7 linked regions of the Daphnia pulex genome follow. The protein of the gene in region 6 binds, or shares a complex with, the protein of the main gene of each other region. Links are inferred from orthologs where the notes say so. Each region holds a gene or a part of one and is shown on either strand. Other genes may lie near its edges.

Evidence for each region.
Region 1: spliceosome-associated protein CWC15 homolog (region 6) and pre-mRNA-splicing factor CWC22 homolog share a complex: the UniProt entries of both Homo sapiens proteins name them as parts of the minor spliceosome. The link is inferred for Daphnia pulex from reciprocal best matches to the Homo sapiens genes CWC15 and CWC22.
Region 2: spliceosome-associated protein CWC15 homolog (region 6) and cysteine-rich PDZ-binding protein-like share a complex: the UniProt entries of both Homo sapiens proteins name them as parts of the minor spliceosome. The link is inferred for Daphnia pulex from reciprocal best matches to the Homo sapiens genes CWC15 and CRIPT.
Region 3: spliceosome-associated protein CWC15 homolog (region 6) and splicing factor 3B subunit 2-like share a complex: the UniProt entries of both Homo sapiens proteins name them as parts of the minor spliceosome. The link is inferred for Daphnia pulex from reciprocal best matches to the Homo sapiens genes CWC15 and SF3B2.
Region 4: spliceosome-associated protein CWC15 homolog (region 6) and smad nuclear interacting protein 1-like share a complex: the UniProt entries of both Homo sapiens proteins name them as parts of the minor spliceosome. The link is inferred for Daphnia pulex from reciprocal best matches to the Homo sapiens genes CWC15 and SNIP1.
Region 5: spliceosome-associated protein CWC15 homolog (region 6) and RING-type E3 ubiquitin-protein ligase PPIL2-like share a complex: the UniProt entries of both Homo sapiens proteins name them as parts of the minor spliceosome. The link is inferred for Daphnia pulex from reciprocal best matches to the Homo sapiens genes CWC15 and PPIL2.
Region 7: spliceosome-associated protein CWC15 homolog (region 6) and pre-mRNA-splicing factor SPF27-like share a complex: the UniProt entries of both Homo sapiens proteins name them as parts of the PRP19-CDC5L splicing complex. The link is inferred for Daphnia pulex from reciprocal best matches to the Homo sapiens genes CWC15 and BCAS2.

The regions. Positions count from the first base shown.
Region 1 is NC_060018.1:7,249,544-7,253,513, reverse strand, and holds the start of pre-mRNA-splicing factor CWC22 homolog, read right to left. Parts: upstream 2,801-3,970; 5' UTR 2,672-2,800; exon of another isoform or gene 2,607-2,671; coding exon 2,449-2,606; intron 2,382-2,448; coding exon 1,877-2,381; intron 1,810-1,876; coding exon 1,681-1,809; intron 1,613-1,680; coding exon 1,267-1,612; intron 1,059-1,266; coding exon 619-1,058; intron 557-618; coding exon 276-556; intron 197-275; coding exon 95-196; intron 10-94; coding exon 1-9. Other genes in the region: ubiquitin carboxyl-terminal hydrolase 24-like, read left to right, coding at 3,722-3,958. UniProt on the Homo sapiens protein: Required for pre-mRNA splicing as component of the spliceosome. As a component of the minor spliceosome, involved in the splicing of U12-type introns in pre-mRNAs. Promotes exon-junction complex (EJC) assembly.
Region 2 is NC_060021.1:4,590,194-4,592,723, forward strand, and holds cysteine-rich PDZ-binding protein-like, read left to right. Parts: upstream 1-1,433; 5' UTR 1,434-1,553; coding exon 1,554-1,767; intron 1,768-1,841; coding exon 1,842-1,930; 3' UTR 1,931-2,030; downstream 2,031-2,530. UniProt on the Homo sapiens protein: As a component of the minor spliceosome, involved in the splicing of U12-type introns in pre-mRNAs. Involved in the cytoskeletal anchoring of DLG4 in excitatory synapses.
Region 3 is NC_060020.1:5,125,182-5,129,117, reverse strand, and holds the start of splicing factor 3B subunit 2-like, read right to left. Parts: upstream 2,801-3,936; 5' UTR 2,561-2,800; coding exon 2,320-2,560; intron 2,233-2,319; coding exon 1,586-2,232; intron 1,524-1,585; coding exon 1,180-1,523; intron 1,110-1,179; coding exon 905-1,109; intron 835-904; coding exon 584-834; intron 509-583; coding exon 390-508; intron 326-389; coding exon 165-325; intron 96-164; coding exon 24-95; 3' UTR 1-23. UniProt on the Homo sapiens protein: Component of the 17S U2 SnRNP complex of the spliceosome, a large ribonucleoprotein complex that removes introns from transcribed pre-mRNAs.
Region 4 is NC_060018.1:419,648-422,605, forward strand, and holds smad nuclear interacting protein 1-like, read right to left. Parts: upstream 1,613-2,958; 5' UTR 1,557-1,612; coding exon 585-1,556; 3' UTR 501-584; downstream 1-500. Other genes in the region: biotin--protein ligase-like, read right to left, coding at 1-152, 221-366, 429-437; sulfotransferase 1B1-like, read left to right, coding at 2,217-2,460, 2,786-2,882. UniProt on the Homo sapiens protein: Required for pre-mRNA splicing as component of the spliceosome. As a component of the minor spliceosome, involved in the splicing of U12-type introns in pre-mRNAs. Down-regulates NF-kappa-B signaling by competing with RELA for CREBBP/EP300 binding.
Region 5 is NC_060022.1:781,827-785,789, reverse strand, and holds RING-type E3 ubiquitin-protein ligase PPIL2-like, read right to left. Parts: upstream 2,801-3,963; 5' UTR 2,619-2,800; coding exon 2,587-2,618; intron 2,511-2,586; coding exon 2,291-2,510; intron 2,203-2,290; coding exon 1,893-2,202; intron 1,816-1,892; coding exon 1,670-1,815; intron 1,575-1,669; coding exon 1,451-1,574; intron 1,375-1,450; coding exon 1,226-1,374; intron 1,164-1,225; coding exon 1,012-1,163; intron 949-1,011; coding exon 759-948; intron 699-758; coding exon 556-698; intron 490-555; coding exon 393-489; 3' UTR 322-392; downstream 1-321. Other genes in the region: eIF-2-alpha kinase activator GCN1-like, read right to left, coding at 1-59, 144-158; somatomedin-B and thrombospondin type-1 domain-containing protein-like, read right to left, coding at 3,443-3,657, 3,758-3,834. UniProt on the Homo sapiens protein: Has a ubiquitin-protein ligase activity acting as an E3 ubiquitin protein ligase or as an ubiquitin-ubiquitin ligase promoting elongation of ubiquitin chains on substrates.
Region 6 is NC_060025.1:5,440,125-5,443,209, reverse strand, and holds spliceosome-associated protein CWC15 homolog, read right to left. Parts: upstream 1,666-3,085; 5' UTR 1,430-1,665; coding exon 1,299-1,429; intron 1,242-1,298; coding exon 1,098-1,241; intron 1,011-1,097; coding exon 851-1,010; intron 792-850; coding exon 549-791; 3' UTR 501-548; downstream 1-500. Other genes in the region: cell cycle checkpoint protein RAD17-like, read left to right, coding at 1-15, 81-235; unextended protein-like, read right to left, coding at 2,192-2,464, 2,550-2,842. UniProt on the Homo sapiens protein: Involved in pre-mRNA splicing as component of the spliceosome. Component of the PRP19-CDC5L complex that forms an integral part of the spliceosome and is required for activating pre-mRNA splicing.
Region 7 is NC_060018.1:4,114,108-4,117,083, forward strand, and holds pre-mRNA-splicing factor SPF27-like, read right to left. Parts: upstream 1,774-2,976; 5' UTR 1,713-1,773; intron 1,643-1,712; 5' UTR 1,591-1,642; coding exon 1,486-1,590; intron 1,295-1,485; coding exon 1,202-1,294; intron 1,134-1,201; coding exon 961-1,133; intron 896-960; coding exon 785-895; intron 724-784; coding exon 558-723; 3' UTR 501-557; downstream 1-500. Other genes in the region: uncharacterized protein LOC124189006, read left to right, coding at 24-126, 191-269, 1,498-1,529, 2,453-2,630, 2,838-2,976. UniProt on the Homo sapiens protein: Required for pre-mRNA splicing as component of the activated spliceosome. Component of the PRP19-CDC5L complex that forms an integral part of the spliceosome and is required for activating pre-mRNA splicing.

The sequences.
Region 1 (3,970 bases), on a different chromosome or scaffold from region 6:
AGTTCGTCTCTACATAATTGAAACGTCCCATCCAACGCAACACAAAATTATTAATTAATCTTAAAGAATCTATCAACGAGATAGAAAAACTTACGTCAACCCTCCTAGACCGATGGAAGTAAAGAAATTAATGGCAAATCGAGTGTTGCGAGGATCATCGCGAGGGAAAACTCCTTCAAAATACGGTTGCAAAGTCCTAAAACGAAAATATTAAAAAAATTAAATTGGTGACGTATAACCAAACAAGATGTTTAAAAAATAGTTGGTGCACTGACGGGTCTTTGAGGCGAAGATTTAGCTTGCTGAGACCCATGTACTCTGCCATTTCTTGAAATAAAATTTTAAGAAATATTCTCGAAGAGCTTGTAGTATCTTCTTCAGTTAGTCGAATGTTAGCCATCACTTGCCAACTGATGGCATCTGTGAAAAGTAAATGGGCAAACATTTTGGCTACATTGCGAAGCTTGTTAGTATCCAGCCGATGAATTGTGTCGTATGTATCATGAAATATTTGCTCGAATGGTGGTATGTATGCCTTATTAATCTGGCAAAATCTCTAATACACCGAAAAGAAAATTGATATACTTGAATAGTTTTTTATTTAATAAGAAATCGTACCTGGGCTAAAAGGCCGAAAAATTTTTCATACGTCCTTTGTTGGGTGCAGCAATCCAAGATCATATGGCATAACTCAGTTTCTTGTCCAGGTTTCATTTGCATTTTCATCATTTTATGGGCACATTCATTGTGATCTAAACTGCTCTGAATAGTAAGGTAAATAACGCGTCGAAGAGCAATAAGGTTTGTCTCCGTCTCGTCAACAATATCGCCTTGTTCTAAAAAAACAAAATTAAAAACATACAAATTGAATCGACCCAAGTAAAAGTATATGCTATTCTTACCTTTTGCTTCCTCCTCCGAAGCACTATCTCCATCAGATTCATCATTTTCTTCTCCAGAACCGTCTGATTCGCCCGAATTATCTCCAATAATTTCTGTTTTGACAGCTTGGTACTTTTCTTCGTTGGCTTCATAATCCGGGTCGTGCTTGAAAACATCTACAAAAATACGCGAAACAGTTAGTGGTATCAAAGTGGAGATAGACATATAAAATCTACTATTAACAGTTTAAGAAAAGCACGGAACTTGGGGCTCATTACAGTCAAAGATTATTTTAAAAATAAATAAAAATTTAAGCCCAGTAAACTAACTTGGTAGATTGAGGAATACAGATATTTTTTAAATCCATTAATAGCAACTTATTACTCAACATATCCTGGGGATCCAATTCTTCTTCTTGTATCGACATCAAATGAGTGAATTGATCTTCTTCTTCCACCAAATCCAAATCTTCCACGATAGCAGGGTTGTCCTTAAAGCCATCCTTTCGTACTTGAAACATTACTTCAATCATGTACTTCACGCGTTTGTCTAAGTCAGCTTCGTGTAAAACATGACGGAGGCGATCGAAGACAGCAGTTAATCCTCGAGGGGAGACTTCACCTAACTTTTGACCACATTCTTTCAAAAATCCAACCGCGACTTCAACTGAATCATCAGTTGCATTTTCTAACAGAAGAGTTAAAATTTCTAGAGCCAAAAGCTCATGTGCCTAAAATACCAAGAAAAATTTTCAGTGCATTTGAAAAACAAAACATGAGAGCAAAATTTCAATATTACCACTTGTTGGTTCACCAGATGTGCTATGAATCTTGTCGAACTCATACATATTTGTTTGTCATTTCGACGAAACCCACGGCGAAATTGAAGAATAAGGCGAGATAATAGCAGTTCACCTATGTTAGGAAACTGAAACATCAACAAATGTGATGTGAATTAAATTAAATACATGAATTAATATAAATCACGTTTATACTTTGGAATTGATTAATGCAGCAAGGGCTGCATAGACATGTGTAAATGTTGGTGATGCAGCTTGTGCCTGAATGATGGACCTAGTTAGAAGACCACGTCCCCTAACAATATTTTCTTTGAACAAGGATGTTATAATCAATGGGATATTTGACACATTGACTTTATTGATTAATCCATGAATGGATTTTTTGAGAGCCTCCCAAGATAAACGCTGAAAAGCTAAGCTTGACTTGTCAGTTATTTGGGCTTGCATCATTCTTAACTTGGCAGGAGGAATGTAAGCTCCTCCGGTTCGTGTCAGCACTGGATCCATTTCTTTAACTCTCTTAGGCTCTTTAGTATCCTCTTCATTTAAAGGACCTTGTTCACTAGTTTTTCTGTCATCCTTTTTCAATTGATTTTCTCTTTTTCTTGAATGTTGATCTTGTTCTCTTGAATGTTGTGTGTAGTTATCTCTAGGGCCTTCATCTCCCCAATAGCGTGTGCCTATTTCATAGTTTTTTTTCCTGATAAAAAAATGAATATGAAGTAAATTAATTTGTTACTTGTAACACTTTTGGTACAGTTGTCTACCTTTCTCTTCTGTATTCCTCCTCTGAACTATACCGTCGTTTCCGAATATTGCTATCGGGCTTTGCTGGAGCTTTTTCGTCTCGTTCATCTTCCAAATCATCGTCGACTTCTTCTAAGAAATTTACGGGTAAACCAACAGCTTTGACGACACTTTCCATCTGAAGGATTATTGTGACAGATGAAGGGAAATTAATTTGAAAATATCACTTAACAGATGTTATACTGTTTGGATGAATAGAAAATTGCAATCGCAACACGCTGAGAAACAACTGCTTTTTTACGTTTGCTTCCTTGGCTTAATGCCTATTGCCATATTGCGGTATTGCCGTTTGCTTACAATTCTACCACTAATGCGCCACCTGCGTTTGGGCAGCTTGTTCGATTTCATTGGTTGTCGGCTTGTCGCCTTATGCCTTATCGGGTTTATCGCAAAGGCAGGCAAAGAGACAAACGTGACAAAAAATAAGAATTAAGAATCTTCTTGTAATCAACCACTTCCTCATTAATGAAAATTTGTTTAAAATTTATTGGAAAAGGAATAATTGAATAAATATTCTGCCCCGAGCAGCGAGCAACCATCAAATACTTTTTGGACTTTTTCGATAACTTGTTTAAATTGTTTATCAGCTTTGTGGCAGCGTTAAGCGCTGAGCCTTCTCAGGTCTTCGTATTTCGTGTAGAATTTTTAAAATAGTTACTGGTGAAATCAGAGTTATAAAGGATCGTTAAAAGAATAATTATTTCAATTTTTGAAATATTTTCGCATGTTTTCGCTAGTCCTGCGAGTTCCTAGTTTTAAAATAGGTATTACTAACCGCTATGAAACAATAAAAACAGGCAGCCACGAAGATTTGTTAAAGAGATTTCATACTTTCAATTGAAATTATGTGGTAAAAAATCATTAAGCATTTTTTCTAAAAGTCGAATCCGTCTGAAACCACTGTTTAGAGGAATGAATGAGCTGGCAACATGTCAAAGATGTCAGCGCCCACGGTTTAATAGGGAGGGCGCATTTGACAAGGGGCCTGCCTACCGCTAACATTTGTTTGCCACTCCTCCATGCAGTTTATCCTATGTGTATAGAAGAATTTCAAAAAGCTCCGCGAAGGAGTTCGTGCCTCTTGTGATCGTAGTAAGATAACAAAAAAACAAAAAAAAAAATGCGCAGAGTGCTTGGGATACACTCATCGTGCATCGTGATATGTTCTAATTTTGTATTTGTTTCCTCTTCAGATAAACAATAAAAATTTTAAAACGCCGGAGAGAAGACGTCATGGACGTCGAAGACGAAAATATCAGCACGTTAATGGCCATGGGATTTCCGGACATCGGAGAAATCAAACGAGCTTTACGTTTAGCCAAGAATGATCTAAATGAAGCAGTTGCTATCCTCACCAATGATCAGTCAGTGTCATCTTATGGACCTGTTGCTGACTTAAACATCGATGTTGACATGAAAGAGGTAGCTGGTGTTTCCAAAGGATCCAGCGAAGATGCTTCCGTGTCTGAAGTAAAGCCTATT
Region 2 (2,530 bases), on a different chromosome or scaffold from region 6:
AAATCTTCTTGGTGAGGAAAGAATTTTCTTTCACCATGATTTTTTTCAGATTTTAGTAAATTGAACTTTATCCCCAAAGTGCTAGACATAAAGTTTGGAAACATCGGCGCGCTCGCCATATGTTTCCAAGCTAAAGTGTATGCTAGTTAAAAAATCATAAAAAATTGAAATTAATAAATTTTTACTTGAAACTTTTACCAACGGTAGACGACATAGTCGTCTACATTTGGACAAAGTTTCAAATTTTTCTAATGAAACTCTGATTTTTCTCGATTTTTTAAAATAGAAAAATAGAGGGAAGAGAATAGGGGAGAACAAAGGGGTCCGGCGGTTTTCCCTCTTCTATTCTTCCCCCGGGCTAGGATTTCGTCCCTGCGCCACCAAAATAAATCGGAATTGTTTTTTAAAAAATCGGGACAAATCAGAGTTTCATTAGAAAAATTTGAAACTTTGTCCAAATGTAGACGACTATGTCGTCTACCGTTGGTAAAAGTTTCAAGTAAAAATTTATTAATTTCAATTTTTTATGATTTTTTAACTAGCATACACTTTAGCTTGGAAACATATGGCGAGCGCGCCGATGTTTCCAAACTTTATGTCTAGCACTTTGGGGATAAAGTTCAATTTACTAAAATCTGAAAAAAATCATGGTGAAAGAAAATTCTTTCCTCACCAAGAAGATTTTTTAAAATTTGCTTTGCGATAACTCAAACGTGAGTTATCGCGAAAAAAGGGAGACACATTGGCCCGTAAGCCGCCGTGTTAGAAGCGCGGAAACACTCGCCGTGTTTCCAAACTTTGTGAGGGTACTGTATATAATATATTTCGTATCCACGGATATAGCTCCTCTGATTTGATCTATTACACCCCGAAGAGCCATCTCATGAAAATCATGGAAAATCAATTTTATAGCCCACGCACAAATAAAATTCCGTGACGGGCTACCGATGTGGTAGCCTTCAAGTCAACTCTCTTTATTTTTCTTTGATACCTATAATAATGTGCCATCATGTTTGTTTGCCCAGATTCAGGTTTCGGTTTTTTGCCCAGTTTTTTTTTTATGGGGGAATTGGAGACTGCGTTATTTTGACAAGATTAAAAGCGTTAATTTGTTTCAAAATTCGCGCAACCTAAACGGATACATCTCCTACATCTAGCGGTAAAGAATTAAACTCCACCGCAGGTTTTATTATAGCCGTTCTAATGTCGCAATAGTTTTTCCGTTCTAGTTTCGTTTCTAAAATATGGACGTTCTAGTGTCGGGTGGGCGTTCTAGTGACGACGACAGTGATAGTGCCACGACAGATGTCGTGGCAATAGACAGTTTCGACCGTATTGCCACGACATGATGTCGTGGCAATAGATTTAACCATCCCAGTCTTAGAAAAGGTTAAAGCCATCTCTGCTTGTCTATGTGAACTAACTGAAGTTTGCCTTATGATCGCTAGGTGGTAGTTTGCAAAAACAAAGCTTCGACTAGTCGACTCGAATCTAGCTTTGAAGTTTTTTTGTTGATTGACTAAACTAAAAACGCAGTTAAAGCCTGTAGAAAGATGGTGTGCGATAAATGTGAGAAAAAACTGGGTAAAGTTATAACTCCAGACCCATGGAAATCAGGAGCTCGAAATACCACAGAAGGTGGTGGTCGCAAGCTCAATGAAAACAAAGCTCTTACTTCTACAAAAAATCGTTTCAACCCATATACACCGAAATTTGAAGGCTGCAGAATATGTAAACAGAAAGTTCATCAAAATGGATCGTATTATTGTAAGTACCAAAGAATTTATAAGAAAAGAAGCTGAATTGAGTCTAACAAAATTACTGTAATTTGGAATTTACAGGTCAACCTTGTGCTTATAAAAAAGGAATCTGTTCGATGTGTGGAAAGAAAATTATTGACACAAAAAGCTACAAACAATCTTCCACTTGATAATCTGTTGTGTTATGTTGTGTTACAATCTTGTCTATGTCTCCTAATCTTTAAGTGAATGTGACATTGAATGGAATATATGAAATTAAGATGCTTGAAACTCTTTTCGTACTCTAGTGCTTTACTCATGTGAAGTTTGAGACCTTACAATCACTGTAATTATCTTGAGTGGTACTATATTAATTTTTGGTATTAAAATTTGTAAATTTTTCATACCTCAAGTATATGCAGAATATTACCAGTAAATTTTCTTTGTAAATTATCTTATGGCATGGCTAATGGATGGATATGTAAATTATACTCTGAACTCCATCCCTTATTTTGTCAGAGGTAATGCTTAAAAGGTTAAGGACCAAAGGTTAATCTCCTTTGAACAATTAAACTTAGACTGAGAATTGTTTTTTTTATGAGCTCAATAATCAATAAACACAGCGAATGATGTCGTTCTATGCAATTTAGCATTAGAATTAAACATGCTGTTTACATATATATACTAATTCCAGAAAATTTGCAGTACTTTTTACTTGTTGGCTAAGTCCATGCTAAGCAATAACAAACAAAAAATATTACTTGTAAGGCGTTATACGATATATTTCGAGA
Region 3 (3,936 bases), on a different chromosome or scaffold from region 6:
TTTTTAATGCTTCAAAAGGGATGTTAAAATTTGAACTCTTTGTATTTCTTGGCCTGTTTAGTGTCCGTCTGTTGTTGTTGTCTCTTTCTCTTGCTCTGTTTTTGCAATTACGAAAACATTTTATTAATCAAGTTAATAATCACTGATTTGGATTTACGACTTACCTTCTGCTTGGCGGCATGTTCAGCCACCATGTCACTGAAATCTTCCTTAGCCAAGTTGCCTTGTTGCTCCCGCAATGTTTGTTCATAACGAGCGGCCATTGATTCAGAGTCCAAACCTTCCAACTCGGAGGGATCCAAACTAAGTTCCACACCACCACTACCTATGAAAAATTTAATTGAAAAATCATAATAACAACAAATTAACTAAAAAATGACAAATCTTACTCTTCTGAGTGGTCGTAGCTGAAGCGATATCATATACATGGGTAGATCCCATCATCGCTTGACCGATTCTGTCCGTTCGCTTTTCTGGAAGGACGGTATACAGCTGAGGCGTTTCGTTACTAAATAAGAGTGAAAATAGGAATAATTAAAAATGTAAAGTAGCAGTTGTATAGTAGTTGACACTGGTTACATACCTCTCCATCTCTGCTTCAATCTTTTTCTTTCGTAGCTCAATCATATCTGGTGTTTCCAGACCAGCAGGTACAGATGAGAATCCCGAAGGAGTAGCAAGTCCTTCTGCAGGAGTAACCAGACCTGATTGATCAATGGCGCCTTCTTCGTCCTCTCCTTCTTCCTCTTCACTCTCCTCAACTTCCTCCTCCTCTTCTTCCGATTCAAGTTCACCCCACAAGGTACGATCAACTTCTTCGTCGAGTAAAATTGTCTGAAAAAGAGGCAAAAGTATTCGTGGTTAATAGAATTTGTTATACACAGAGTATGAGATATTTTCTTACATCGCCTGCGATTCCAGTCAATCCAAAAACATCGCCGTACAGAGGCCGCCCGAATTCATCGACAGGAGGTTTTCCCCAACCTCCGGCATGGTAGCCAAAGGAAGAACCATCAGGAATTGGAGCGTTCAATCCTGGAATCTTCAAGTTAGGGTAAGACGGTGGTGGACCATATCTTTGCATGGCAATCAACCAAGGAGGAGGAATTCTTAAAGAAAACGCCATTAACATTAACTACTGTAACACAAAACGGTGTCAAATTAAGAATAGATTCTTACTTGTTTGAACTAGGACCAACAGGCATTCCGAGAGCAGTTCGCAGTTCGTCAGACAACTCTCCGGGTTTTTTGTCTTTCATTCGAGTTTCAAATTCTTTTCCTTCATAGTATAAATCACCCATAATCGTCATCTTGGGTTTGGTTTGCCATTTGAAGAAAGCGTCATGCAACTTTTGATAGTCGATATCAACACGCCCCATCTTGGGTCGAACACGCTCACGCATTTTAGCTTTAAGTGTTTTTGACTCTTCCTTTTCCTGCAAAGCAGCTCGCATTTCCATGATTCCGGTCTTTTTGATGAAATCGGGCAAATTGAAAGGAGGCTTTTCTATTCCACGTTTTCCCTAAAGTACAAAAAAATTTGTTTAAAACGAATTGTTTACCCTTTGTGCATAGTAAAATATACCTGTAAGTACTTGCGCTTCGCACACCAATGTCGAGGAACTGGGACCGAATTTCTGGTTGCTTTCAAAAGAACTAACAGTTTGGGGTCTCTAGCAGTAACGTCGTGCATCTCTACGACGTCTGGTCTGGCAACACATTGCTTCAAATCGGCCACACTTAGTCGAGTAAGTTGTTTTAGTTTTCTTTTTGAAACTTTTGGCTTGTCATCATCAGCATTTTCCTTTTTCTCCTCCAAATCTTCCTCTTCTGCAAACTTGGGGACCTTCTTAAGTTCTAAACTTCTTTGAAGTTCTTTCTTTTTGGCTTCATCTTCTTCAGCTTTCTTTGCAGTTTTTTCATCAATGATTTTAAATGCTTCGAAGATTTTGGCAAACTGTCGGTAGAAAGGATTTTTGTCGTCATAAATGATTTCTTCCTGGACATACTCAATATCCACTTGTGGAGGTTCTTCAGCATCATCATTCCTTTCATTTTCTTCTTCTTCTTCTTTCTGTTGATGTCTCTTAGTGCGCTTCTTCTTCTTTTTCTTCTTTTGATTTCTTTGAGTTTTAGTTTTTTCTTCAAGGTTTTCTTCCCCACCGAAATCATCTTTCCTCTCTTCAATAGTTCCTTCAGTTTCTATAACTGTTTTGACAGGGATTTCATTAACTAAAAAAAAAATAGAAAAGAATAAAGTTCATTCCTGCAAGCGAAACCTTTCATGAAGACTAGAAAATTTATAAAAGTGTTACTCACTAATGTTATCAACCTCTCCAGAGTGGCCCGTTTCTCGTACTCGGTATTCTTTGTAAGCAAGGACTTCTTCAAGTGCTGATGGGAGATGTTCATGGGCGGGAATGTCTTCATCACCTGGAGGAGGTGACATCGGTCTAGCACCTGATCCATACATACCGACAGCATTACCCTGGAAGGACCTTGAAGGATCTCCATACATGTAATTCTCCTGGCCGTAGCCGGGCGGCATGTGATGATCCATGTCAAATTCAACTAAATAACTTTCTGTTTCTAAAGAATAATCACACAATCAAAAGGGTGTTTCAAATCAATAGACAAAATAGACGCGTCCAAGTAAAACACGATGAAGTTTTACGTTAATTTAAAACTGCCTTGAAAGAAACACGATAGCAAAACAAGTTTGTTAGAGAACCAAACGGGTGAAGCGAGTAAACGACGACCAAATGAAGCCGAATCTAAAAGCCATGATCAAATCGTATATTCATTGAGGTACCACAGAAAACCAGCAGATGGCGTTCACGACGCGCCCTAAATTTTTAATAAAGGCTTGTGCACACTATCAACACCAGATGGCAGTCTGATGAATCTTAAATGATTTTTTTTTGTGGTGGCACACTGAGAGAGATGCAGTTGCAGTCAAAACGGTTTCTTAAACCGAAGTGCTCTGAGAGTATTGCTAAAGCGGTGGGAGTGGTGTGATTAGTTAGTTTGTGAACGTATTGTTTTCATTGAGATCGTCCAGTTCATCGCGAGGCCGGTAAGTTTGGCCGATTCTGTTTTGGTGTGTGTTGACAGGCTTTTCGTCGGGGCTTGTTTTCAGTTTCTCATTCAAGGCAGTCTTGGTTGGTTTTCTCTCTGCCCAGAGGTCTACAGCATCAAGTGAAACCGACGGCATTTGTTCTCTCCCCTTTACGTTTGTACATACCTTTTGTAGATTGTTTTTTCCAGCCTATTTGATATTATCGTTTTTCGATGGGAAAATTCTCATCGACAATCACATTTTCGTAAAATCTGATGAGAAACGTTGCGTGTGGCCATTTCACCCCTCTTGAGATTTTTTGGTGTCGGTGAACCGATCAAACGTTGGTAGAAGCTAAAAGAGAAATCAGTTTCATTATCAACAACCCTGATGTGAGATGTGCCTGTGAGCCGGATCGATAAGAGACTTTCATCACACAGGCCGTGTAGCAACTTCACTAGGTCTCTCTCAGACTCTCACGCCATTACGTATACACGTTGACATTCTTTCCACGAAGCCATTACCGTTTCTTTTTCTCTCCTTGTCTCTCATATACGTTTACGGTTTTATTTTTTCTTTTTTTTGACGATGAGTGAAAGAGTCGGCCTTTTTCGCCATAGGGCATTGTTGATCCAGGGTCAGTGCAACCGCAAGGCCAAGAAACTAACCAATTTGGTTGCTTTTCCCACTTTGAAGATTGTGTGTGTGTGTGCTGCAGCTAGTAGTAGTATATTTATTATCAGTAGATTATTAAGCAACCCTTGTCCTCTAACCGTCTGCTGACATGCTTATCGATATATCATTTGCAGACGAGGTAACTTCATTTATTGATTCGACCCTTGGCTGGCTTTGAACAAAGGTAAATCATGAACGTAATC
Region 4 (2,958 bases), on a different chromosome or scaffold from region 6:
AAAGACATTGACCACCCTTCTTGATGTACTCTTCCAGCGGATCGTGCAAGTCATTATCAGACCATCGAGAAGCAAGTACTAGGAGGCTTGTGTTGCTTAGCCAAGCTTTTTTAGAACGAAATGAGAGTTCATCGAGATGGTAAAGGGCATAACTGTCAATCAATGTTACATTGTTTAAGATCAAGAATCCAGATATCAAATGTCTATACTGTTTATATACCAATCCGGCTCTAGTGTGGATTCAAAGAGGGCTCGATATTGCTGAAAAACTTCTTTGTCACTCGTACATATTAGAATGTTGGGCGGTCTTGCTGAGGAGGCCAGCAGTCGTTCCACAGGTCTCATGACACCAGCAATTTTGGTTACCTGTTACCAACTGGTTGTAAAAATTGCTTTAGTTATAAATTTGAATTAACGTGACAACTTACGAATAACATGAACAGCCCCACTGATGTGTGAAACCTGGAAATGAAATGAAAGAACACTTAAAGACGATTGAATACCTTTCGCAGAAACATTAAGTGTATTGCGGCGTTCAAAAAAGAAAATTGTTATGATACAAAACATTGCTGGTCACCAACGTGTCACTGCCCCACTCCCATATCGTCCAAACTAGCATCTGTTTTGCTTTCTTCATGAAGGAGAACATATTCGCGGGAACTGAAGCCAAACTTCACCACATCCTTCTCGAACAATTCGACGTAACGTTTGGATTCAATTTTTTGATTATTTACAAAAGTACCATTGGCTGCTTCCAGATCAATAATATATGGCCGGACAGTACGTCCTGCAGTTCCATCAGGCCGTTCGTAGTTTACCAACCGAAATTGGATCGCAGCGTGCTGTTTCGAGCAAGAGGGATGGTCGATTGGAATATCAGCAACTTTACGATCTCTTCCGATTAAGTAGGCGCTTTGACGGTGAAGGTACAACGTAGGCAATGCCTCTTCCCCTTTAAAGACGTAAAAACGCCACCGTCGCTTGGGAATTCTGGCTTCAGGTGGTTCACTGTATTTGACCACCACACCATTGAAAACATTCTTCTCTTCAGTCAATTTTCCTGATAGACCAAAGTTGGGTTTTTGCTTTTCAACGAGTGTTCCTTCTTCTTCTTCATCTTTAACTTGTTGGCCATACTGGTAGTTGGCTGCTTCAGCATCTTCACTTCGGGGGCTTTTGCGTCTCTGCTTAAAAGGTCTTGGTGGTCGATCTTCTGAATGTGGTTGCTCATGCCGTCTTGAAGGCCCTTCATTGTGTTGTGGACGTCTGAAACTTTGTTCATCATCACTAACTGGTTCTTTCTTGATTTTAACTGGAATTGGTGGGTCATTTCTTCGATTACTTTCTTTGTGTGAAACTTGTGAATCATGTCTCCTGCTGTCTGATTTCCGACTTCTTTCATAGTCATCACTTCTTGAATGGTAATGGTCGCTTCGTGAAGATTTTCGTGGTGGGGAAGAGTCACGTTCTTCACGACGTCTGTGAGTCTTGCCTCTTTCATGGCCTCGTTCGTGGGACCTTTTGGGACTCCTCTCGTCTTCGTTGTGCTTTACCATGGCGATCCAAACGAAATAAAACAAGATATGCACAAGTACTCTCTAATTACCTTAATGTTTCTGGCGTATTTCTCAAAAAAACGAGATCAATTCAATGTTTCAGTTTCAGTTTGATACAACTCGTTTCTCGGCTTGTCAACATGAAATGGTGTCGCAACTCGTAACCGTTGCCAGATTTACTTTCATCCACCACCTGTAAACGGCTAGCCGCTAGCGGTCCGCCGTCCGCGGACCTGCTCTCTGCTGCCTCACTGCCTGCTCTTTAATGTATTTATATTCTCATTTTTTTATGTAATGTTTTAGAAATTGAGTAATGCTTATGTATGCCAAATTGAGAATTTTTGTAATCGATTACAGCATAACATTTTCGAAATCAAAATTATGTTGTTAGAGAAGTATATTTTTCTTTTGCTCGTTGGGTCGTTGTAAAATATTTAAATAAATATTATCAAATATCTGATATTGTAATACATATTTACGTGGATTTAATAATTTTGCATTTGATTTAACGACGAAAACCAAATCGTTAAAATTTGATGTGGCACTCGCTGAGTCGCTGTTGAGTATAAAAAAGGAGGCCACGGTGTCATTCAGTCGTCGCGGTCTTTGTTCGATCCTTTTTGCCGTTGCGTTTTCATTTGTTGTCTGAGCTCTCGCACGATGACAAACCCCGAAAATCCTTCAGTTCCTCCCGAAGTTGTTCCAGAGTGGAACATAAAATTCAATCCTGTAGAAGTGAATGGAGACTTGAAAGAACACTTCACAAACTACGAGCAGCATGGACTGATGAAGAGCGAACCTGGTGGTTTTCTCTTAACGGATGAGTATGCACGCCATGCCAAAGAAATTTCACGTTTTCAACCAAGAAGCGACGACGTTTGGGTAGTAACCTTTCCAAAATGCGGTAAAATCCTTTTTCAATCATTTTTAAGATTTTTTTTATGTAATAGCTACATTTTTATAAAATAATAATTCGTAAAAATAAATATCCTAGTGGTATTTGTTTAGCAATTACTGCTATTACGTCACAATTTATTTCTTTGTCATCAATTTTTTTGGCCGTAGCCTTGAAAGTCTAGTAGCCAAATGGCAACCTTGTATTTCTCCCCGCCTATTTTAAAACACATAGTTTGAAACAAACAAATACAAATCTCTCGGATCTTGAAAGTGTTAACTTTTCGTATTCTCCCGCACATATAAAATTGATAACTTTGAATTTGTTTACTTAGGAACGACGTGGACACAGGAATTAGTGTGGATGATTCTCAACAATTGTGATCCAATTGGATCTAAGGCACCACTAATAGTTCGGTCACCCTTTCTAGAGTATGTCAGTTGTTGGGATGTCATTGAGAGCTTTAACAAGACATTTCCGTTTTCGGTTTATGAACTATATGGACTC
Region 5 (3,963 bases), on a different chromosome or scaffold from region 6:
CGTTCGAGATAGCTGGCTGATTGTACCCTCAAGGGTAAATCTTTCAGCGCTTTCGCTAACTAGAAAACAAATCACCAAAAGACATTGATTATTGAACGCGTAATTTAACAAATTATTATTTATCATAAATGTGGTTTGCTTACCGGTTTGTCATCCATCGTGTGTCGTTTTGGCAGACGAGAGGACAATGCTGCGTTGCCGTCGCATATAAAAAAAAGTCAGTAAAATTGTGAACCCTTCCTTCCCCTTTTTCGATTTTTATTTTTAATTGCTACAGAATTATTGAGTAAAAAAAATGACATACAATTTGATAAGAACAAGTGTTCGAGAAAGAGTTTATTTTTAAAAAATCAGCCACAAGTAAGCAAAGAATAATCCAATATCCGGGAAGGTCACCAATTACTGAAATTACCAAATGAATAGTTAGCAGATGTTTTAGCTTTTTTATGTTGAGAACTGCCGGATTCTTCTCCAGCCGAATCAGCTGGTCTATAAAAAAAAATAATAATAAGCTGCAATGAAACTATTTTATTTAATAGAAAATTAAAGATATACTTGTTGGTGAAAGCTTTAGGGTTGATGTATTTTCCTACACCAGATTGTTTGAAAACCTTAAGCTGGGCTTTAGGGATGGAAGCCTTTGCTTCCTTCAACTGTCTCTCAGCTTCTTCTAGCGCTGCGGCTCTCTCAATCACCAACTAAAATGTAAAAACAAAAGTAAATTTTGCTTCTAAGGTTGAATTGATTTTCTCGGCAACCTTTTCGTCTACTTCGGCATATGGGTCTGTAAATATCTGTGACGACTCAATAATAATCTCTTCTACGGGTCGATCTTTATTGTCAGTACCAATTCGTTCCATAGCGCTCAAAGTTTCCATTCCACCCACGACACGACCGAATATTGTGTGCTTTCCGTCCAGATGTTTACACGAGCGATAGGTGATAAAACTGAAAGAGTAATAATCAAATTGATGCGTAATGTATGCATAGAACTAGATAATTTAAACGTACAACTGAGATTTATTAGTGTTGGTTCCCGAGTTCGCCATCGATAAAATACCCCGACCGGTGTGGGATAGATTCGGCTTAAATTCATCTTCAAATGATCCTCCCCAGCAAGACTCTCCTCCGGTACCAGTTCCAGTGGGATCGCCACCTTGAATCTGGAAAATTTTTGTTAGGAAATCTCTGTAACAGCCCGTGATCACGTTGAGATCTACAGTACCATGAAATGCTTGATAGACCGATGAAACTTGGTGTTGTTGTAGTAGCCTTTTTTGCACAGGTTGACGAAATTTTCACACGTTTTAGGTACCATTTCACAATGTAACTCTAAATTAAGAGGCCCGACATTTGTAACTAGTCTAACATAACCTAAGAAATTAAATTGATGAAATAAAAACAAATTTAGATGGTTTGTGAAGAATTCATTACAAGAAACTACTTTAACCTTTTTTCTTAATGCGCTGATATCGAACGATACTTTCATCGAGAATTGCTGGTTCATGCTTAGTTTCTGGTGCCATCACCGTAGAAGTAAAACCAGCAGCGACAGCCCCGGTGGAATAATGAGCCTGATAGTTTTTTTTTGTTTTATAAACAAGTTATAAAAACGAAAATAATAATAAATAAAAGGGATAAATTTAAAACTTTAACTGAATCAAATTACCGCATTAATGGAATCAGCTACTGCTTTTACAGTTACAGTCTCTTCAGGTGCCTTGTATTCCTGTTCTAATTCTGCCAAAACTCCCTTCGTTTCTGCATTGATGTATTTGAGACGGGCTGCAGGATCGGTTTTGGCCCTTATTAATTCTAGTAGAGAGAATCATATTTATGAAAGCAAATCAATTGGCGTTGTTAAGTCTATAATCAATAAGACAACAAATTACCTTCATTTTCGATTTTTTGGTCATGCGTTACATGATAAAATTTAGCGATGTTAAACTTTTCTAGGTGAGATGGGTCTTGAAGAGTGATAATGTCTTGACGAGCAAATGTTTCATCTGTTAACAACTCTTTCCAGTTTTTGGGCTTCAGATTGAGTTGCTCTACTGCCTCATAGGAGAACACATTTCCAGTAGTTCTGATGGCCACAATGTGGGATTTGTCTGTGAACTGCTTGAACAATACAGGGCAATGGTATGCCCCTTCAGCATTTTTATGATAATTTAACCTCAGAAGGGCTTTGCTTTCCAATGGCTAGAAAAATTAAATTCTCATAAACATGCCTTTCTAGTTCAAGTTTATCGGATGAAGCAAACATGCAATACCCATAAGCAAAACTTACTTTTCCTGTTACTGGATTAGTTTTATACTTTTTCAAGTATGGAACTATAGCAAGAAGGTCGAAAACATTTCCTTCAGTGTCACACAAAGGATTCTCAAAAAGCTGAAGTGACAAGGCACAGTGATCATATGGAAGTCGTCGAAATGAAGCACTGGCACTATTTGGATTAACAGGCTTCTTCCCACCATACAATGTGCTCCACTCTGTACTTGTCAAGTACCTAAATATAAGATAGTAAACTAGTTAGTGTTTTCATACTAAACATATCATTCAAATTGAAATATCTTAGAACTTGCATTTTATCTTTCTGGTGTTGTCGTTTTCCCATTTTCAGATAGTTTTCACGCTTTGATGAAGAAAAACAGTATCAAAGTTCTCTGTGAAATACACAAATTAAAATCGAGCAAACTTTTTTCAGTTTATGGAATAGAACGCCAAACGACTAATAAACCGACTTGTTGTTTTGGCACACTGTCTTGAACGTCGTCTGCTTACCCTTCAAGCTTCAACCGCTCGACTTAAACTTTTAAACTTTTTGTCTTTTTATAACGATTATTGAATTGTTCTACCATTTAAAAAAAAATTTTATGTACGAAAAATAACATCCAACGATCACATCATCAAGAATTTCATTGGCCAAATTAAATGATGAAATATTGGTCGTTGGACGTTCAGCCACTAGGGGGCCAGGATCGACCTTCATAAAAGCCTCAAAATGATTCGAGATAAGATAATTAAGAGGAACCATTCAAAGAAGACGGCTAAGCCTAAGCGATATGAAAGTCAACAATGCATAATAATTGCTAGACTCCACTATAGACTAGGCAGCTGACAGCAAACAAAAGATTAAGTGAATAAATTGGTTCTATGGAAATTTCCCTTTCTGTGTATTTTCACACTCGCATTAAACTCGATGGGTGGGTCGACAGTTAATTTTTTTGTTCTAGCTTTCGCTCGTTTCATTCGCGTTTTTTTTAATTAAACCACCCTCAGATCGAATATTTTAGGTAAAAAAAAAGAATGATTCGAAAGACAAAGAAAAAAAAATAGAAATAATTAATGTGGTAGCATAACAAATTTAAGGAGATTTTGTTTAAAATTGATCTTCTTCCTTGTTCGTTTCCTTATAGTTTGCGTCTCTTGTGTTGAGACCTAAACGAAAATTAACAGAGCGTCCTCGTCGCACGAACAAGTCGAGCTGGAAACCTCGTGAGATTCATCCGGACGTCTGAGCCATTTGCCATGGCACTCGACGTTGGTCAGCGATGTCCAGCGTGTAATTCTACCCGGCACTCCGTGACCACCGCAACGGCCTCCCAAATAGTCACGAGTAGCCTTGTGTTCACATCGAACACAGACGACGCCGCCTAAACCACGAAAAGGAATAAAATAAAATAAATGTATCAAAACACAATTTTTGAAAAATGATATTTCCATCCGGATATTATTATTCCGGAAGTCAATTACCGTCAGTAAGAGAGTTGAACACTTTCTCTTTGTGGCAGGCCTTGGACACTTTGGTCAGCTCGAATGTCACGCAGTAACTGAATAAAGACGGAAGTGTTATTGCAACATGTATGCGCCAATTTTCAACGTCCAATTGAAGAGCAATCATTGGTGTCGAAAATTTCTTAAATTTTGTGGCTTGATTGTTTATAGGTATGTATCCTCAC
Region 6 (3,085 bases):
CTAAAATAACAGACGGTGAGATCTCATTTCTCTTTATTTTTAAATATCTTATTATTATTCATTTAATTAAATTGATACAGGGTTAAAATCAACATCAGGCCAGCTTAATTACCACCAGTTTCAAGTTAGTCAATCCACTGATTTTTCAGCAAATGTAGTGGACTCCGTAAACTCGAATGGTAAAAAGGATCGGGACGAGGACGCTGATATCATCATCGAAGATTATGACGACTAGAGTCGTCACGTCGCGATAATAAAGAGATCGAGGTTTTTTTTTATTGTAATGTCAACAATTTCTAATATTTAGAATTATAAAATTCTATTTGATGAACAAAGAGGAATAAATAATTTAAAAATATTTTCTTATATTGTAAGTATGCCAATGAATGAATAAGAAAACTTTTTAAAGGAAAAATTGGTATACTGAATTAAAGTGTCTTTAGTCCTTTACAGACGATTAACGAATCAGCCACAAAAAAAAATTTTACAAATAAACTTAGTAATTAAGACAGGAAATGTATTTAATCAAATGCATGGAACATAAAAAATTATTTAATATACTTGTCCATGAATTTCTTATGAAATTCAGACCGAAGTGAATCATTAATAAAAGTGATTTCTTTCCTTTCCGGCTCAGCACGGGAACAATTTTTGAAGACAACATCGTCATCCCATCGTCGTTTGACACGCAAGTCAGATTTCTGAGGTTTCCCAGCGTAATTTAACAATGGATTTCCGCTTAAAATATTTTCCATTCTGATACGTTCCTCTTCTTGTCTCTGTTCCATTTCCTGAAAAACAAGCAATTTGTGTATTTGACAAACAAGAGCATCTAAGTCAATGATAATACCTTTTTGGCCAATTCAGATGCTCGTTCACCCTTTATTCTCTGAAGCTCTGCCATTAATTCAGCAGTGTCATCTTCATCTTCTTCATCAACACTGTCATCACTTTCGTCTTCAATGGGATCATCTGCATCCAAGCTACTAGGATCAACACGTAATTTCTTCCTGCAAAGTGTTAACACATTCTTTAATCCCATAACTGAAATAGTTTGTAGAGATAGGGAAAAAAAGTTAAATGTTTTTCAGACTTACTGGGAAGATACTGACGAAGCTGATTTAACAGCCCTATCTCTGTCTTTGCGATCTCCTTTTTCCTTATGAGATTTTTCCCGTTCTTCTAGATCTCTTTTTAGATCCTTGTTGCGAATTTCCTCTGATGATCCCTGACCAATATCCCTATCAAAAGAAATAAAATTAGAATGTCAGAATTTTTGAATTAAATTTAAATTTTACCTGTATTTTAGTTTAGTATGTGATGCAAGATCTCGACTCGAATATTGCTTACTCATAGAACTGAGAGACGTTTCTCCCCTGCCTTGTCCTCCAGTAGCAGGGGCAAATGTTGGTCGCGAAGCAGTTGTCATTTTCTAACGATTTTTCAATTACTGTGGAAAATGCTACTTGTACTTGGCTTTGATGAAAGAGTTGCTCTGTTGTATCCGACTCTTGAAAACCTCCAAAGTTACTAAACGCTTTTCCCCCAACACAATTAAAATCAACTAATCAAGGACACACGACAGAAGTTGGATTCTTACTCGAGAATCTCGAGTCGAGATGCAACTCATGCAAGAAGCAGAAGAAGCAGGTTGATAGTTCTTCGTTTTCAATGTGGTGTCGCTAGTGTCGATTTTTATGCTCCTCCCCCGATTTGATCAGAAAACCCGCGAAATTTTGTTAATTAAAAAAAGTACGAAATAGGTTACTTTGTTTCACCTCACATAACTGGTTTCCTACATTTCCACACACGATTTATGTTACGCAATTACAGTACATTAAAGGAATACATATGTTTGTGGTTTATTTTTAATAACCAATAAAAAAATCGACTGTGTGAATGTGTTGACAATGAAAGTTCTAGATTTTCAATCACTACTAAAACAAATTTAGATTGATAAAACAACAAACCATAGTAGTGCGCATCGTCTTGCACCTTCCCTTTTCTACATTATTATTTTATCAACGGGAATGTCAAGAAGTGGTACCACATTTATAGGATGCATCCACATTAATCGTTCTCCGACAATTTCACTAATATTTGAGCGCGCCAGCGGTTGTAGACGAACTATTTGTTCAACTGTTTTCCCAGTTTTCATCAAATATTTCACTAAATCGAATTATCCAAGGAATTATCGATCAGAACGGTGTGGAAAAGAGTAATTTCCAGTATCATTTTGATGATTAATGATGGTCTGGGGTGAACAACTACTGAAAACGTCATTTCTTTTGTATCGACTATCGACCACACAAACATTTGGGGTACTAGGTAATGAACTACCTCGTGAACTACTTAGTAGGCTTTCTTTTTCCGGATCAGATCTAGTCAGGAGGCAGTTAGAATTACAACGAGAACTGTCAGGTTGTAACTCAATAGGTGAAAACCCGTTCGTCAAATTTACAGACTAAAATGCAATTTAAAAAAAAAATTGGGTTAGTCACAATATTTATCATCTACATAAAAGTAATTCAGTTGCAGGAATCCCATACCGTATCAGAATCTTCTCTGCTAGACATGAAAGCAGATTCGCATTCCGTCATTCGTGGCACAACTTCACGCTGTACCCGCTCTAGGACGGTAGCACTTCTGACTGCTTGGTACAGGGATCGGCTCATGTGAAAATACACTAGATCACTGACCGCACGAACAGTATAATCAACAACAAACGCCTGTCCACGTGCAGCTTTGCTTCCATTATCGCCAATGTCGAATTCATCGATGATTGGAGAGTGAATTGATTGTACGCTGCCATGAAAGAACTGGTTGGCAAATGACGATTCTCCTGATACATAATAACATTAAACCATTGGTGAAATCGCCATGCAGTAAAGTTATTAAACCCCCTACAATATATAGCTCATCTTTTGCCATGTTATAGTTAAAAGCAATAGTACCCATCCCAATATTTCAACAGAGAATAACGTTAATGAAATGAAAAAGCAAGGCAAAAAACAAACGAAGTCGGTAAAAAAACTCGACAGAACTTTTTAGTTAATAACTTTCTTCATTTCAATTTTCCTGCCCC
Region 7 (2,976 bases), on a different chromosome or scaffold from region 6:
AATATCCGTAAACTAATTTTCAGGACGTTGGTCCAACTTCTTGAGAGGACTAAGAAAAAGTACCAATCTCGATTAAAAAGACTAGAGCAGCAAATGGTCAACATGTCGGAAAGACATGCAATGCAGGTATATAGAGAAAAATTACGAGTTATCAAGTGTGACCGACATAAAAATGTCATGTGATTATCAGGTTCGCGTCCTAAAGCAACGAGTTATGGTGCTGGAAGATGAGTCTTCCGTCCGCCCTTTACCTTTAAGTTCAGCCCCAAGTGAGACTTCCCTATGATCTTACCCTTTTTTTTACCCTTCTCTGAATTACGCTTTGCTGTACTCATACGCTTCTTCTCGTTTTCAATTGTGTGATATATAAAATCAGAACGTGCTACTTACCATTTATAAGACAAGCTAATCTGAAAGTGCATGACTTTATACTATTTTTTTGTTTTGTTCCCTTACAACCAAATCTTTTTGGTTGTCACTTACTGAAAATCTCGGATGAATCAATTTCCTGTTGCAGTGTATTATCCGAATTCGATAAAGTAGGTTTACATTGAATTTCATTCATTAAGTGAAGCTAACTGTCTCTCAATTTCAGCACACGCGAGTTCGATTTCGTAGTTTTTAGTGATCAAACCAAACCAAGTGGCTTCCAAATGTTTCATTTTGTCTCCAACCTCTGTCTGATCTTTTTTTCTAGCCCAATTGACATCTTGGATTTGTTTCCTGTAAAGAAAAATATAATAGTGTATTTTGCAATATGGTGTCTACTTTACTGAAATCATACTTAAATTCCTGAAGATGCTTCTGAGATTGTTGGATCATCTGGGACAATACAGTGTTATAAATTCTCCATGATTCACAACCATACTCTGACATTAATTCCAAGTTCAAAATCCTGTTTTTTAATTGAAATTTTTTTAAATTTATGGTTGCTGTAAAATTTTTTTTTAGAAAACAAACCTTGTTGTTTGATGTTCTAATTGAGCCATTGAATTATCAACACACTCTATCCATGCTTGAAGATCATTTAGACGACCAGCAGATGGGGGTGGGAGTTCATATCGTTTCATGCTCAAAACATCCATTGGTTTCTTTTGAGACAGTCGCTCAAATTCAGTCTTCATCAAAGGAGTCTATGAACATGATAATTTCCATAATTATTACACACTCCTATCATTACTTCCATGCAGACAGTTCTTACTTCAAATGCTGACAGCTCAAGTGGAGGAAGATGTTCTAGGTAGTTTTTGGTTGGTCTATATCTTCGTGTCTCTTCATCAACCAATGCAAGTGCCTGATAGAAAGAAATTACTCTCATTAAACAACTATTGGACAAGAGCGAGAGTTCTCAGCAACATACAGTACTATGGTCTAGTACAATAATGTATTGATGTTAGAGATGACTAGGCTAACACAAGAATCTCCAAGCCTCAATTCGAAGCGATTCAAATATTTCAAAGTTTGCAATGTATAAGTTTTGCTTACCGCTTCTCGTAGAGTTGGATCTCCATATTCTTGGTCAACGTATGGTAAATCGTCAACCAAAATCCTTTCGTTCGGCGTGGAAATGTTTGTTGACGGAATCGGCATTTTGTGATTTGTGTCAAACTGTCTGTTGTCAGCAAGATTGTCAGATTTTCTGCTGGATTAATAAATATGAGCCACAGTTTTAGTAATTGATTTTCATTATGTCTAATTATTCATAAACTTACTTTTTGATAATGAATAAAGATCATTAACTTCCTTTAAATGAATAAAATATGAAAATAAATTGGTATATTAAATTTTATTCAATAATATTTTGGACACCGTTGCATTGTGAAACAAATAAAACAATATTAAAAATTTTATAACTAATCACTCCATTAAAATGTTTGAAATCATCAATTGAAACTCCATAATTTTTGTTATTAAACAGTGGATCAGTTCAGTGAATAATCTGTAATTTTTCAAGTAAATAATCAAGTAAAAAACGGAACGTAGAGGGCGGCAATTCTCAAAGTATGCCGGCAACATTGTAGACTTCCTCTTTGTCGCCATTACTGTGGGTCTCTTTCATTCGCCTTTTTACCCGGTCAGGACTATCTACCAAGATGGTAAGCATGAGGTTCTCCAAACATTTTACTAGTTTTTACATACATTAATTTACGAATAGTAAGTAAAAAGGTTAACGGGAGAAACGTGTTTTAAGAAAATTCTTGCGTGCGTATATTTTTCTAAGCCATTTTCTTGTTAATCTATGGCGAAAGTTTGGGAGTAAAATGTTACCCACAGCGTGGTTTCGTCCTCGTGTCAAATGGGCTCTTGCTGTTTTTCTATGTTAATTCAACGTCGTTCTTGGTTTATTGTTATGTTTTGGTTAATTGGTACATCTAGTTCAAAGTTTGTGTAAATTCAAGTGTTGTCTCTTGAAAATCTTAAATCTAATTTGTTTATCCATTTTGTTTTACAGAGTAAGGTGGTCGCGAGGCCGTTGATTACCGTTTACAATGAGAAGGCTGAGGCCTCTGGAACCAGCATCCAGCTCCCTGCAATCTTCAGGGCTCCCATTAGGCCAGACATTGTCAGCTTTGTTCAACAACAAATGTCAATGAATCGTCGTCACCCTTATTGTGTCAGCGAGAAAGCAGGTAACTTGTATGCCAATTATATGGCACACAGCATTGAAATGTAGGAGTAATTGTACGTCAGACTCTTCTTGTGCAGTGTGCAACACTAAAGCGAGTCCCTGAGGCCTTTCTCGCTTTGTTTTCTTAAAGTGAGGGGTTGGGCAACCGGACAAACTTCATACACACATGTAATGGTGTGATTGTTAATCTTCTTCTTTCCTATTACAGGTCATCAGACAAGTGCTGAATCATGGGGTACTGGTCGTGCTGTGGCTCGTATTCCCCGTGTCCGAGGAGGTGGTACCCATCGCTCCGGTCAGGGTGCCTATGGTAACATGTGTCGTGGTGGACGTATGTTTGCCCCCAC